3 linked regions of the Sus scrofa genome follow. The protein of the gene in region 1 interacts with the protein of each later gene in a biochemical or structural test. Links are inferred from orthologs where the notes say so. Each region holds a gene or a part of one and is shown in the gene's direction. Other genes may lie near its edges.

Region 1 (4,250 bases):
TTTTTAGTGAAAAAGACATTATTTCTTGAGTACAAAACTACACATACATTGGATGAGGCTTATTAATTGGGTTGTTCAGTATCTCTCTATCCTTGTTTATCTCTCAGTTGATTTGCTCTATCTACACCAAAATCAATGCAGTTAAGTCCCCCACTATAATTGCAGACTCTCTAATCTCTATATTTCTAACAATATTTGCCTCATACATTTTGGAATTACATTGTTTGGCATATAAATTTTAGTGACTGTATGTTCTCAGTGAATGGAACAACTCAATTTGTTTTCTTTTAATGCTTTTTACTTTGAGTTCTTGATTTTTCTGACATTAACATTGCTATAAGTCTCCCTCCTTCCTTCTTTCCTCCTCTTTCTTTTTCCTTTTAAAAATTCCTCCCTTCCCTCCCTTCCTTCTTTTTTTTTCTTTCCCTCTTTTCTGCTGATATTTACTAGCATATATTTTCCAATCTTATTTCTGCTTTAGGTGAATCTCATATAAACAGCATATAACTGGATTTCTAAAAATTAAATGCTCAAAATGAGAGTTCGCTTTTTAAAAATTTTTATGGGAGATGTTAACCCAAAATACATATTAATATATTTTTATTTCTGCCATTAAAAAATGCTTTTTTAAATTGCCTCCCATCCCATTTCTGCCTTTTGTTAGATTGAGCTTTTCTCTTTGTTGTACATATTATTTCTTTAATGGTTTGAAAGTTATACATCCTATTTCTGTTGTTGCTACCCCTAAAATCTCCTGTTTTTCTATTATGCATTTTATTTCCAGTAAGAACAAAGCATTGCTATTAGGAACATAGAGAATCTTTACATTTGGTACAAATACTAGAGATATTTGTAAAGTGCAATTTAAAAAAAGGAGTTCCAGAGTTCAATAAAATTGTATAAATCCAAAAGGCATATTAAATATTATAATATTTAAAAAGTGCAATGCAATTACCAGAATGTGAATCCAGGTTGTGCTTCATGACTGAAAATTTCTTTTGGGCAGAGAAGCTCGATTTTGTGATAAACAGCAACAAATTCTACTGTAAACAGTTCAATTTGCTTCAACGACCATATTTAAAAAAAAATTTAAGCCTACTGCAACCCTAAATACAGTGATAACTTCCAATACAAACCATAACATAGCACATAGGATAGGGTATATTAATATAATTATTTTCACACCAGAATGAACCAGAAAGAATTTGCAGATTTCATTTTATTTAAGACAACAACAGCTACCAAAAGCACAGAATGGAAAGGCATATGACTAAATGTTTAACACTTGTTAAAGCCGACTGTTGGTTACATTTTTCGCTGTCCTTTTCTGTATCCTTGACGATTTCATCATTTCAAATGAAATAATGCTTTCGGGTCCACCCTGATTTGTCGAGAGCAGCTGCTGCCCCCGCCACATCAAGGGGGCGGGTCGCCGCGACGCCACAATCACTTCCGCCGCCGCAGTCGTGCCCGCCCCACTGCTGTCTGGAGGGGGAGGAGCTGGAGCCCCGGGAGCAGCGGCTCTGGCGGTCGTGGCGGTCGGAGGTCCGAAAGCTCTGCTCTTCACCAGAGTGTGCGGGGGGTCGCGACTGGGTGAGTGAAAGGCTGTTTCTTTCCTCGATCCCTCCAGACGTGGCGGTGGGGCGAGGGGCCGGGGGGCGGGGGGGGAGGCGAGGTGGAGGTGGGGGCTCTAAGTGAACAGATTTTCGGGCTCGCCCCTCGGGAAGGGGTGGGGCGGACGAGGGTCCTGACCGCAGAGGGAGGCCTGTGTCCTCCATCGGTCTGATTTAGGGCTCCATCCTCCGTCACCCGGCCCCAACAACGGCCCCTTTCGTGTGGCCCGCCCCCACTCCGCTCTGGGGGCTTGAATCGTTATTCGAGAGGGGAGTGGTGGTCGAGGCCCTCTCCCACCTCTCTCTGCCTGTCCTTTCCCTCCTCCGCCTTCCTTTTTTGGCTCCTCTGCGGAGCGATCCGTGGCCTTTCTTACCCCATTTTGCAGTTGTTTTGATGAATGGTAAATGGTGAAGATTTTTAGGTAAATATATTGCTCTCAGGAAAAGAATTGTCAGAAAAACAAAATCACTCCCAGGGAAAAACTATACCCCCCACACGCCCTTTTCTTTCTTTTTTTTCCCCCTTTTCCCATTGGTTTGGATTTACCTTTTGAGCCGATAAGTCTCCCCTTCTCATTATGACATTGCGGCCCCCTCCCATCCGTGTGTCTTGCGCGCGAGCAGGGACACACACGCACATGCCCGCACACACGCTTGTGCGCGCGCGCACACACGTACACACATATACATACACACATACGCATGCACAGAAACCTTCCATTGCGGCTCCCTTACCACCATCACCCCCAATACTCAAGGTTCCTGCGTATCCCCTCCCCCGCACATGCTTGGACACTCACACACACAAACCCTCTCACACACTCTCACGCTCTCTAGTGCCTTCCCCTGACACACACACACACACACACACACACATGGCCTCACACCTTCCTGTGCCTTTCCAAGCCTCTCACGGACTGCCACATTCACACCTCCAGAAGCTTCCCCCTCCTCCCTCTGCCTCTGCGTGCACTGGTGAGCACACAGAACACACACACACACACACACACACACACACACACACACACACACACACACACACACACACACATATCCTCATCCTCCCACACACCCTCCGGGCTGCCTTACCACACACACATAAGGATATCCTTGGATTGCTTTTTTCCTACGCCACTTACATGCATACTATGCATCCATACCTTTTTCACATACCTCTCTCAGATGCTCCCTGTCTGCTGCATATGAGCCTAGACACCCTCCTTCGCTGGTCCTTGTGGTGCACACACTCACACTCACATAAATCCTTCTCCAGAGACACTGCCTCCCCCCTTCCTGCCAAAAAACATTCTTTGATTGCTGGTGCCCACATGCCTGCCCCCCTGCCACACTCACATCCCTCTCCAGTGCTGTACCCCCATCGATGCATTTACTCACACTGACATTTCTCCATTGTTGCCTCCCATTTGGCGAACACATGCACACAAATTCAAGGGCACCCCTGTTCAGTGCTTCTATACCCTTTCTGGCCTGCCACAGATGGGGAAATACAGGCATTCCCTCACTAGAGTTCCAGCCATCATACAGCAAACCACACGCACATTCTCTTTCTCTCATACATACTCCCACCCCTCTCTTCTGAAGCCATGCCGGTCTTTTTCATAACTACATCCAGAATGGGACTCATTCTGCCTGACACTCATGCCTGTTACCAATGCCAGTGTCACCTGCATTTTCCCTACACAGACATCTCTGCTGAGTGATTGCTGGTCCCCCTTCCACCTGCCCCTCTCCTCCTGACAGACACATAGGCACTCTTGCAACACAGTGGTGGGGATCTATATTTTCTATGCTCTTCCAGTTTGCATTTCTCCTGTATGTCTGCAGGGCTCAGAAAAACGCAGACACCCCATAAAAAAACCACAGCAGTCTTTCCTCTTTCCATGTTGGCACCATGCCAGTGCTTCACCCACCTCTCAAGCGTCCAGTCAGCGCCCCCCCCCCCACCATCTTCCTTCAGATTCTCCTCTAAGTCTGGCTTTCCTACAAACCCAGTTTTGTAATCATTTTGCCAACATTAAAAATGTGTTCCAGGTCTACACCTGACAGTCACTGGAATGCTACTCCAGGCCTTAGAAGAAAGTGAAACTAATTTTAAAGGCCCCTTATTCTTTCTGTTACCTGCCTGCTGAAGTGAAAATAAATCTCCCTGCTCCTTTATTCTGAACTGATTTGACTTGCCCATCTCCAAAGTGTGTTCAGGGAGCAGGAGCCTTTCCAATCAAGCCCTAGCCGTGTTGGAAATCCTCCTAAGTCAGAGCAATGGGTCAGGAATCTAGCAAGCCTATATGGCCCAAGCCAGCAGGAGGGTATCAGTCCAACACAGACAGGAGGTATGGAAGAAGGCATGCTTGTGTCAGTTTCAGGCCTTCCACGAGCCAGCAGGAAAGGATTTTCGGCCAGAGAAAGACGCCATCTGAAGTCCCAATGCACAGGTCAGCCCCCAGTCAAACCACCAAGAGGAGCCGATCACCATTTTCCACCACCCGTCGTAGTTGGGACGACAGCGAGAGCTCGGGAACCAGCCTGAATGTTGATAATGAGGACTACTCCAGGTACCCGCCCAGAGAGTACAGGGCTTCAGGGAGCAGAAGAGGAATGGCTTATGGACATGTTGAC
Region 2 (4,158 bases), on another chromosome or scaffold:
TACCCACTTTCTGGTAGCTTTAAAAAAGACAAAATGGGAAACTCAGTTTCTTCTTTGCAAGTCACTAAATAGAAAAGGAAGGCTGGAGTTCCCATTGTGGCGCAGCAGAAATGAATCTGACTAGGAACCATGAGGTCTGGGTTCCATCCCTGCCCTCACTCAGTGGCCTAAGGATCCAGCATTTCCTTGAGCTGTGGTGTAGGTGGCAGACTCGGCTTGGATCTGGCGTTGCTGTGGTGTAGGCTGGCAGCTGCAGCTCTGATTAGACCCCTAGCCTGGGAACCTCCATATGCATGGGTGCGGCCCTAAAAAGACAAAAAGACAAAAAAACGAAAGAAAAAAAATTTTTTTAAAGAAAGGCATTTGCTAAGATCCGTGGAAATAAGGCAGCAGACTGCAAATGGTTTGAGTTAATGAAACAATTCATGTTGGTTATTAAAGTTGCACTATGTGTGTGTATATATATATGTATATATATATATATATATATATTTTTTTTTGCACATTTAATAGATTATAAGGGATGCTACCCTTGGGTTCTCCTAACTTTCACATTGAGCCCTTAAGGCTGATCTATTAAGGCAGTCCATGATTGCAGTTCTTGGTCAGGATGCCTAAAATTAAACGGCAACCTCTTGAGAGCGCATATCTTTGTTGGTAGCTTTCTCTCACCCATTTCTGCTAAAATTCTGGTTGTGGGACCAAGGCGATTTTCATGAGCATGTGCTTTATAAAAGATAAACTCCCTTGACCAAGCAAAAACACTCCAATTAAACGTGATTTATGGGGCGGCTTCGCGAAGTTGTCCAGCTGATGGTATTTATATGTACACAATATCGACACTGAAATAGTGAAAAGGCAAGTCTGTTGTTACCTTTGTTTTTAAAGAGACTGTTTTAAACAGGCTTTAGAGAAAGTAACTCTTGGGAAACGGTTAGGAGGGATTGGTGAAAGCAAACTAGTCCTCATGGTTTTTCATTCCTTTTACATCTAGTTTTGAATGGAAAAGAAATGCTTTCACTTTCCTTTCACGCTCTCCGCGGTTTTTCTCCCACATTCACCTTCGGAGTTTCCTTCACCTAACAAGTTCCGACTTGAGAACTCGTCATACTTACTCTCAGTAGTCCTAGTCGCTCTGTTAGGGGCTTTGTTTCCTGTTCTCTATCTGCTTGGCTTGGTAAGGACAATCCTTAATTATAATAAAAGAAGCCATAGGGACCGCCAAGGCTGAGCAAAGACCCCACTTTCCTGACTGCCAAAAGGCCACTGCTCCGACCTACCCACAAGACGTGGCGCGAACTCCGTGACGTAGCGCGCAGCCCTCTTGACGCAGCGCGCAGCCTCCGTGAGGAACTCGCGCCCGTGGCCCCGCCCCGGGCCGCCGGGACCAGCTGCGCGCCTACCCGCAATCTCGCAGCCGCCGGTTACTGTGAGTCCGCGCCGTCCGGGGCCCGCCGCCGCGATATGTCGCAAAAACCGAAGAGTCGCGGCCGCGCCGGCACCCAGGCAGAACGGGAGCGGGACTGGGGAGGAGGCGGCGGCGCAGAGGAGGTCCCGAGCACGTCCCGCGGGCCTTCCTCGCAGGGCGGCCGGCGGGCCGAGGCCTCCCCAGCGCCGGGGCCCCGGTCGCAGAAGCAGCTGGAGCTGAAGGTGGCCGAACTCGTGCAGTTCCTGCTGATCAAGGACCAGAGGAAGATCCCGATCCGGCGCACCGACATCCTGAAGCACGTGGTCGGAGACTATAAAGACGTCCTCCCGGAGCTGCTCCGGCTGGCAGCCGAGCGCCTGGAGTACGTGTTCGGGTACCGGCTGGTAGAGCTGGAGCCCCGGAGCAACACCTACATCCTGGTCAACACGCTGGAGCCGGTGGAGGAGGACGCCGAGGTGCGCGGCGACCAGGGCACACCTACCACCGGGTTGCTGATGATCGTGCTGGGGCTCATCTTTATGAAAGGCAACAGCATCAAGGAGACGGAGGTCTGGGACTTTCTGCGGCGCCTCGGGGTGCACCCCACCAAGAAGCACCTGATCTTCGGGGACCCCAAGAAGCTTATAACCGAGGACTTCGTGCGGCAGAGGTATCTGGAGTACCGGCGCATCCCCCACACTGATCCTGTGGACTACGAGCTCCAGTGGGGCCCACGCACCAACCTGGAGACCAGCAAGATGAAGGTGCTCAAGTTCGTGGCCAAAGTCCACAATCAGGACCCCAAGGACTGGCCGGCTCAGTACTGTGAGGCTCTGGCTGAGGAGGAGGCCAGGGCCAGACCCCCAACAGGTGGCCCAGCCCCTTCTTCTTGAAATCTGAGAGACTCAGAGGGACTCCAGGGGGGGGTGGGGGGCGTGTGTGTGTGTGTGTGTGTGTGTGGTGTGTGTGCATCTTTCTGCTAAAGCTTCAATGTGCGTAGTTTTAGGATGTGTTTGCCGACTTATATTGCAAGTTCCTTGGTTCCAAATTTTCACCTATAAAAATATTAACGGACGATTTGTTTTGATTTATTGTCTGTGTTTTTTGGTATAAAAATCTCGCTAGCTTTCTAAAGCTAATTGGAAAACTTTGTACCATGATCTGGAAATAGATATTGAAGAAAGAACACGTCAGTAAGTTGCTTTGATGTCAAGGAAATAAAAGCACGAAATGGCTCTTACCTGGCCTCTTGACGACCCCACTTTGAAAGGAACAATAAAAGTCTATAAATTGAAACAATAAAAGTCTATAAAATGTAATTGCCTATATCCCTTTTTAAATTTAGCATAGCTACTTTTAGAATGTATTTTTTATGTATGTAAGCGTTATGAATCATTCTAAGTAATGTACATGCTGTATTTTTCCCAAATAACTTTACCTCGATAATTACTACTAGGTTGTGTGGCTGACTTTTAGTTACATTTATTTTTTTCCTTTTTTGGCTACTATAGTTACAATAAATACTGTGTTTTGAAGCAGCATTGTGCATTTTTTTAACCATAAGTCGAGAAATTAATTTCATGACTGAAAACAGGCATCTTAACAAAAAACACTTTTTGCTACATAGCATTAAGGTAAATAGTGTTTTGTGGAAATTGTTTTATTTGTGTATGTGCATATCACGATGTAAAATGTATTTCTTTCAGTGGGTTACAGAAAAGATAAAGCCATTAGTGATTAACCATGCCTACCTGGGAAGCAAACTATCTGGATTCAGATTCTACTTCTGCATAACTAGCTATATGAATTAGGCATGTTACTTAAGATGTATACAGATTTTTCCTCACCTGTAAAGTGGGTTGATGATGCCTGTATTGTGTGTGATGTGATACTTAGATATGGAAATATGTGTGAAGTTCTTGGCACAATGCTGGGTGTGGGGGATTTTAGTTGTTGCTCTGTTCCTTAAAAGTTTGTTTAAATATGTTTTTTATTCTTGGTATGGAGCAACAAAAAAAAATTTTGAAGGTTTTCTTTCATTATCTATTTAGTTTTCAATTTGTCCTATTATTTTGTAACTTTGATCACTTTGGTTAAGGTGGTTTCTGCCATTCCTCTACACTTTGAAATTTTCCATTTCCCTTTGTAACAAACAAGCAACTTGTGTGGAGACAGAGATTTTGTAAATATTGTATTCCTCACCAAAATTTCAGTTTATTCACTTTTATCTGTATAGATTCATTATAGTCTTTTATTGTCACGATTTATTTTGATACCCAAATTGTCCCTGTTTGCCACTGGGAGCATTTTAAAGCTGGCTTTTGTGTCTTCTACTTGCCCCCATCATTCTTTGAGCAATTCCATACTTTCTGGCACAAAAAGATCATTCAGCCTTAACTTGAATTTTCCCTGCCACAGACCTCTCAGCCATTTTCTCCAAAGAGCTCTGATTCCTTTTGGATGGAAACGAATTCAGAAACAAGGTTGCCAGGTTTCCTCATGCCTTCTAGAAGTATCCTTGCTTCTAGCCCTCTACATGACAAAGTTAGTCTTTTTGTCTATTTGTATATCTAGCTATCATCTACTGAAAACTATGACATTACATTGATAATAGCATATCCATTCTATACCGTAGTGTTTATTATGGTTTTCTCCCTTGTTCTATCTGTACTGTTCTATCTGTACCTAACTTCTCGAACAGTAAGAAATTCATATCCTTTAATCCTTCTAATAATTATTTGATCAATTGC
Region 3 (4,226 bases), about 10 Mb from region 1:
CTTTGCACTTTATGGTTTGCATATTGAACAAACCTGGCTCAGAAAAGTCCAGTGACCTGAGCAGGCTCACACAGCTAGTAGACACTGGCTCACCCTCCATCCCACGAATTGAAGCCCAGCCCAGGAAGGGACCAGGGCAAACATTCTGAATCCGGGCTTGCCATGGCTCAGAATTGCAAGTGCCTGATTGTCTTGGCCACTCCAGCGGGCACCAGAAAGGCCTCAGGGGTAGGGCGTTTGTGCCTCTCACAATGAAGGGGCCTGACGGCCGGAGCAGGGAGTGGACCCCAATGAGCAATTCCCATATCTGGATGGACCCACAGAGCAGGAGGGCGGGGAGTGGGAGGGGGCGGGGCGGAGGAAGAGCTGGGACCTCTATCTGTTTCCTCCTAAATTGAGAGCATGAGCTTAAGTCTCAGGGAACACTAACCTTGTCTGTTTGGGACAGATGTTGACAGGGCAGGAGGTGGGATAGATCTGTTGCTTAAACTGATAAAAGGAGGGTGCTTCAGTCCCTGGGCCAGCGCCGGTGGATCGTGGGTTTTAGGGTCTGGAAGACCCAGGACAGGACCACATTTTGCTTTCTCTGTTTACTGGCTTTGTGGCTTTGTCTAGTTCATGCAATATGTTTGTACCTCAGCGTCTTTATCTGTAAAATGGAGATGCTGACATCCACCTCCCAGGGCTGCTGTAAGAAGAAAACAAGCCCCAGCATAGATCGTGCTGTGAAGTACAAACTGTGCCCTTCCCTCCCCTCCTCCCCACCTCCCCACCTTCCCACCTCCACACACAAAATAAATAGCTGGAGCTGCACAAAGGGCAGGAAAGAAGCTAATGTTTATGAGTCTGGGATCTGTTGAGGAGGGGGGTGGAAATCATGGAGTCACGTGGCAGGCACAGACTCTACCTCTAATAATGTATCCTCTGGCCGTTCCTTTTCCTGGGTCCCTAAGTGGATGTGCTTATTTTTAGCCCGAGCCAAACACTTGTAGCAGTTAGAGCCCCCCTACAGAGACCTCCTTAATAGTGACCTAAGTGCTGCTAGACTAGGGGGTGGAGATGCATGCCGACCTGACAGGAGGGGCCGTGCGAGGGGAGGGATAGAACAGAGACGCATTGCGGAAAAGGTAGGGGGCCAGTGTGTGGGGCAAGGGGTGGGATCTAGAGGCACTGCGAATCTGTTTGGGGGAGGGGATATAGAGAAAGGGGAGGGATCGCTGTATACTGTCGACCTGGTTGGTGGTGGGGTGGTGTGTTGGCAAAGGGGCGGGATTGCCTCCCACTGCACATGCGCACCTTAGTCTTCAGGACGAAGCTTTTGTTGGGAAAGCAGGCGGGACTCTTATTTGGTCGGTCAGTTCTTGCGCATGCGTACAACCATCTGAGGCGGTGGGTGGTATATTAGGCGAAGAGGCGGGGTCGTCCTAGCTGCCGCGCTGGCATTTTCTCCTGGACAAGGAGAGGGTGCGGCTGCTGAGAGCCGAGCACTGCAATCCCGATCCTCTGAGTCGTGAAGAAGGGAGGCAACGAGGGGGTTGGGGTTGGGGCCTGAGGCAAGGTGAGAATTAGCCCCCAGACAGGGCATCTGCCCCCTGGTGCGGGCCCCCCATTTTTCATCCCAATCCCTTTACCCCGGATTCTGATCCTTCTTCCACTCCCCGAACCCTAATTCACACCCCTCACCCGATCCTCCCTTATTCAGAATCCCTGTTTGCTCTCTGAGCCCCTCCCATCGTTCAGAATTTACAGATTTCTCGACCTCAATCTGTACTGTTATATGATTCCTCCTGATTCGGAAACTCCATTCAGTTTCCCATATGCGAATCCCAGTGCTATCCGCCTGGATTCAGAACTCTTAAATCGGTTTTCCAAACCCCGATTTGAAGCTTCTCCCCGTCGTAGCTTCTAGGGATTCAGAACATCCATCCGGACACCCATTCACTTTTCCCACTCCGATCTGGCCCGTTCCCCTCACATTCAGCACCTCATCCGCCCCCACAATCAAACCTCAAACACCACCGTCTCCCCACATTCATTCCTTCCCATTTACCCTCTGTAGTGTAACGCCTAACTCCTCCCCCACACCCCCCTCCCCAGGCTCTGCTCTTGCCAGAGGGACAAGAACCATGGCTCAGAAAATGGACTGTGGTGCGGGCCTCCTCGGCTTCCAGGTGAGATCTCCACTCCCCACCCCACCATTTCCCCAGCCGACAGTTTCCCCCTTCCCGGGCCCCTTTGGCTATCCAAACGCCTGGATCAGATTGTGCCTTCTTGGTGCCTGGATTCCTTCATTTTTCAAATTCCCATGGTTTATGGGGGAGGGGGCGTCCCTTTCAGCCATCAGTCCCTGCTCAGAGAAAGGGGAGACCCTGTTAGTAGTCAGGGCAATCTGCCCAGAGAATGCGGGTTGGGTAAGGAACCATTTTTTTCCATAGTCCTGATGCTTGTAGAGCTCTTTGCCGCCCCCTCCCCCAGCCTCCTCCACCCTCCCTTCCTCCTGCATTCCCCACCCCTTGCGACCCCCTTATTCTCCTCAACTCCTCCAGGCGGCACTCTTGCTCCACCTCCTCCTGCTCCTGAGCTCCTACCTCACACTGCAATGTTCTGCTCTAACCTCACTCCCAGATCAGCACCTGCCTTCCACTTTGCCCCCCTCACCTCATCGCCGCCCGCCCCATGTTTAACCTCTGCCCCACTCAGCCCCTCTCACACGTTCTGTTATCACTTCATTCCTCTCAGGCCTCTAGATCTCTGCCTCAGCCTTCCTCTCTTTGCACCAGCCGCCCCCCCTGCACCTCCTCTGAGCTACTCCCCCGCTCCCAACCCCACTTTGTGAGGCCCAGAGATTTATTTTTTCCCCTTGTATTTGCAGGCTGAGGCCTCTGTAGAAGACAGCACCTTGCTTATGCAGACCCTGATGGAGGCCATCCAGATCTCGGAGGCTCCACCTACCAACCAGGCCACAGCAGCTGCCAGTGGGCCAAATGCTAGTCCTCAGAGTTCACAGCCCCCATCTGCCAATGAGGTGGCTGATATTCAGGCTTTAGCAGCTGCCACTAAGCCTAAGACAGCCTTTAAGGCCCAGAATGCCACCACAAAAGGCCCAAATGCTGCCTATGATTTCTCTCAGGCTCTTAATGCCAAGGAGATTCCCAGCACACCACCTACGGTAGCCTTTAAGGCCCCAAATGCCCCCTCAAAGGGCCCAAATGCTGCCTATGATTTTTCCCAGGCAGCAACCACCAGTGAGTTAACTGCCAAACCTGAGATGGCCTTTAAGGCCCAGAATGCCACTACGAAGGTGGGCCCAAATGCCACTTACAATTTCTCTCCATCTCTCAATGCCAATGAGATGGTCAACACTCAGCCTAAGACAGCCTTCAAGGCTTGGAATGATACCACTAAAGCCCCAACAGCTGAAACCCAGACCCAGAATATTAACCAGGCCAAGATGGCCACTTCCCAGGCTGACATAGAGGCTGACCCAGGACCAGGTATCTGTGAATCTGATGGTGCAGCTGCACAGACATCAGCAGATGGCTCCCAGGCTCAGAATCTGGAATCCAGGACTATAATTCGGGGCAAGAGGACCCGAAAGGTGAGATCCCTGCTAGTTCCACTTTGCTTTGGGCCTCTCCTTTCTTCTGTGAGGTTGTTCATTTGTTCTAAAACAAAACAATATATAGCTGCCTGTATTCAGCTAGGTTGTAGGGGATGATAAGATGTATGTGATAATTCCTGTCCTCTGAGTGTCCACGGACTAATGGGGAGATGAGACATGGACATGTAATATATCCAGTCTGCATGTAATTCCTTGTGTATTTTGATAGTAGCCATCATGTGTTAGGTCTTGGCCTAGGCACATTCACACAGGTTATCTCACGCACTAAATCTTCAAGATGCTTCATACCGGCTGGGGTCATAGTTTCAGTTTTACAGGGAAGGAAACTAGTTTCCAGAGAGGTGAAGTGACTTGAGTGATTTGTCCAGGGTGGTACAAGCAGAGCCAGTGGTGAACATAGGAAGAGGAGAAGCTTCAGGCCCCACCCTTGGGTTGCTCCTGGCCTGGTTCAGAGATGAAACTCCTGCCTGGAAGACAGTGAAAGACAAGCCCAGGACTCAGGGTGACCATTGGCTAGTGGGTCAGGCTGTCACTACAGGTGAGGGTTTTAGGGGGCCTTCCTGGAATAGATAGGGCAAGGACATAGAAACAGTTGGTGACTCTG

What was found. The genes of interacting proteins can lie anywhere in the genome.
Region 2: the proteins of PJA1 (region 1) and NSMCE3 form a complex in vitro, tested with the Homo sapiens proteins (2 studies listed by BioGRID). The link is inferred for Sus scrofa from reciprocal best matches to the Homo sapiens genes PJA1 and NSMCE3.
Region 3: the proteins of PJA1 (region 1) and MAGED1 form a complex in vitro, tested with the Homo sapiens proteins (2 studies listed by BioGRID, with this or other methods). The link is inferred for Sus scrofa from reciprocal best matches to the Homo sapiens genes PJA1 and MAGED1.

Annotation. Positions count from the first base shown.
Region 1 is NC_010461.5:55,277,784-55,282,033, reverse strand, and holds the start of PJA1 (E3 ubiquitin-protein ligase Praja-1), read left to right. Parts: upstream 1-1,450; 5' UTR 1,451-1,593; intron 1,594-3,665; 5' UTR 3,666-3,893; coding exon 3,894-4,250. UniProt on the Homo sapiens protein: Has E2-dependent E3 ubiquitin-protein ligase activity. Ubiquitinates MAGED1 antigen leading to its subsequent degradation by proteasome. May be involved in protein sorting.
Region 2 is NC_010443.5:144,471,227-144,475,384, reverse strand, and holds the start of NSMCE3 (non-structural maintenance of chromosomes element 3 homolog), read left to right. Parts: upstream 1-1,358; 5' UTR 1,359-1,464; coding exon 1,465-2,301; 3' UTR 2,302-4,158. UniProt on the Homo sapiens protein: Component of the SMC5-SMC6 complex, a complex involved in repair of DNA double-strand breaks by homologous recombination. The complex may promote sister chromatid homologous recombination by recruiting the SMC1-SMC3 cohesin complex to double-strand breaks.
Region 3 is NC_010461.5:45,321,113-45,325,338, forward strand, and holds the start of MAGED1 (melanoma-associated antigen D1), read left to right. Parts: upstream 1-1,426; 5' UTR 1,427-1,558; intron 1,559-2,097; 5' UTR 2,098-2,126; coding exon 2,127-2,171; intron 2,172-2,872; coding exon 2,873-3,598; intron 3,599-4,226. UniProt on the Homo sapiens protein: Involved in the apoptotic response after nerve growth factor (NGF) binding in neuronal cells. Inhibits cell cycle progression, and facilitates NGFR-mediated apoptosis. May act as a regulator of the function of DLX family members.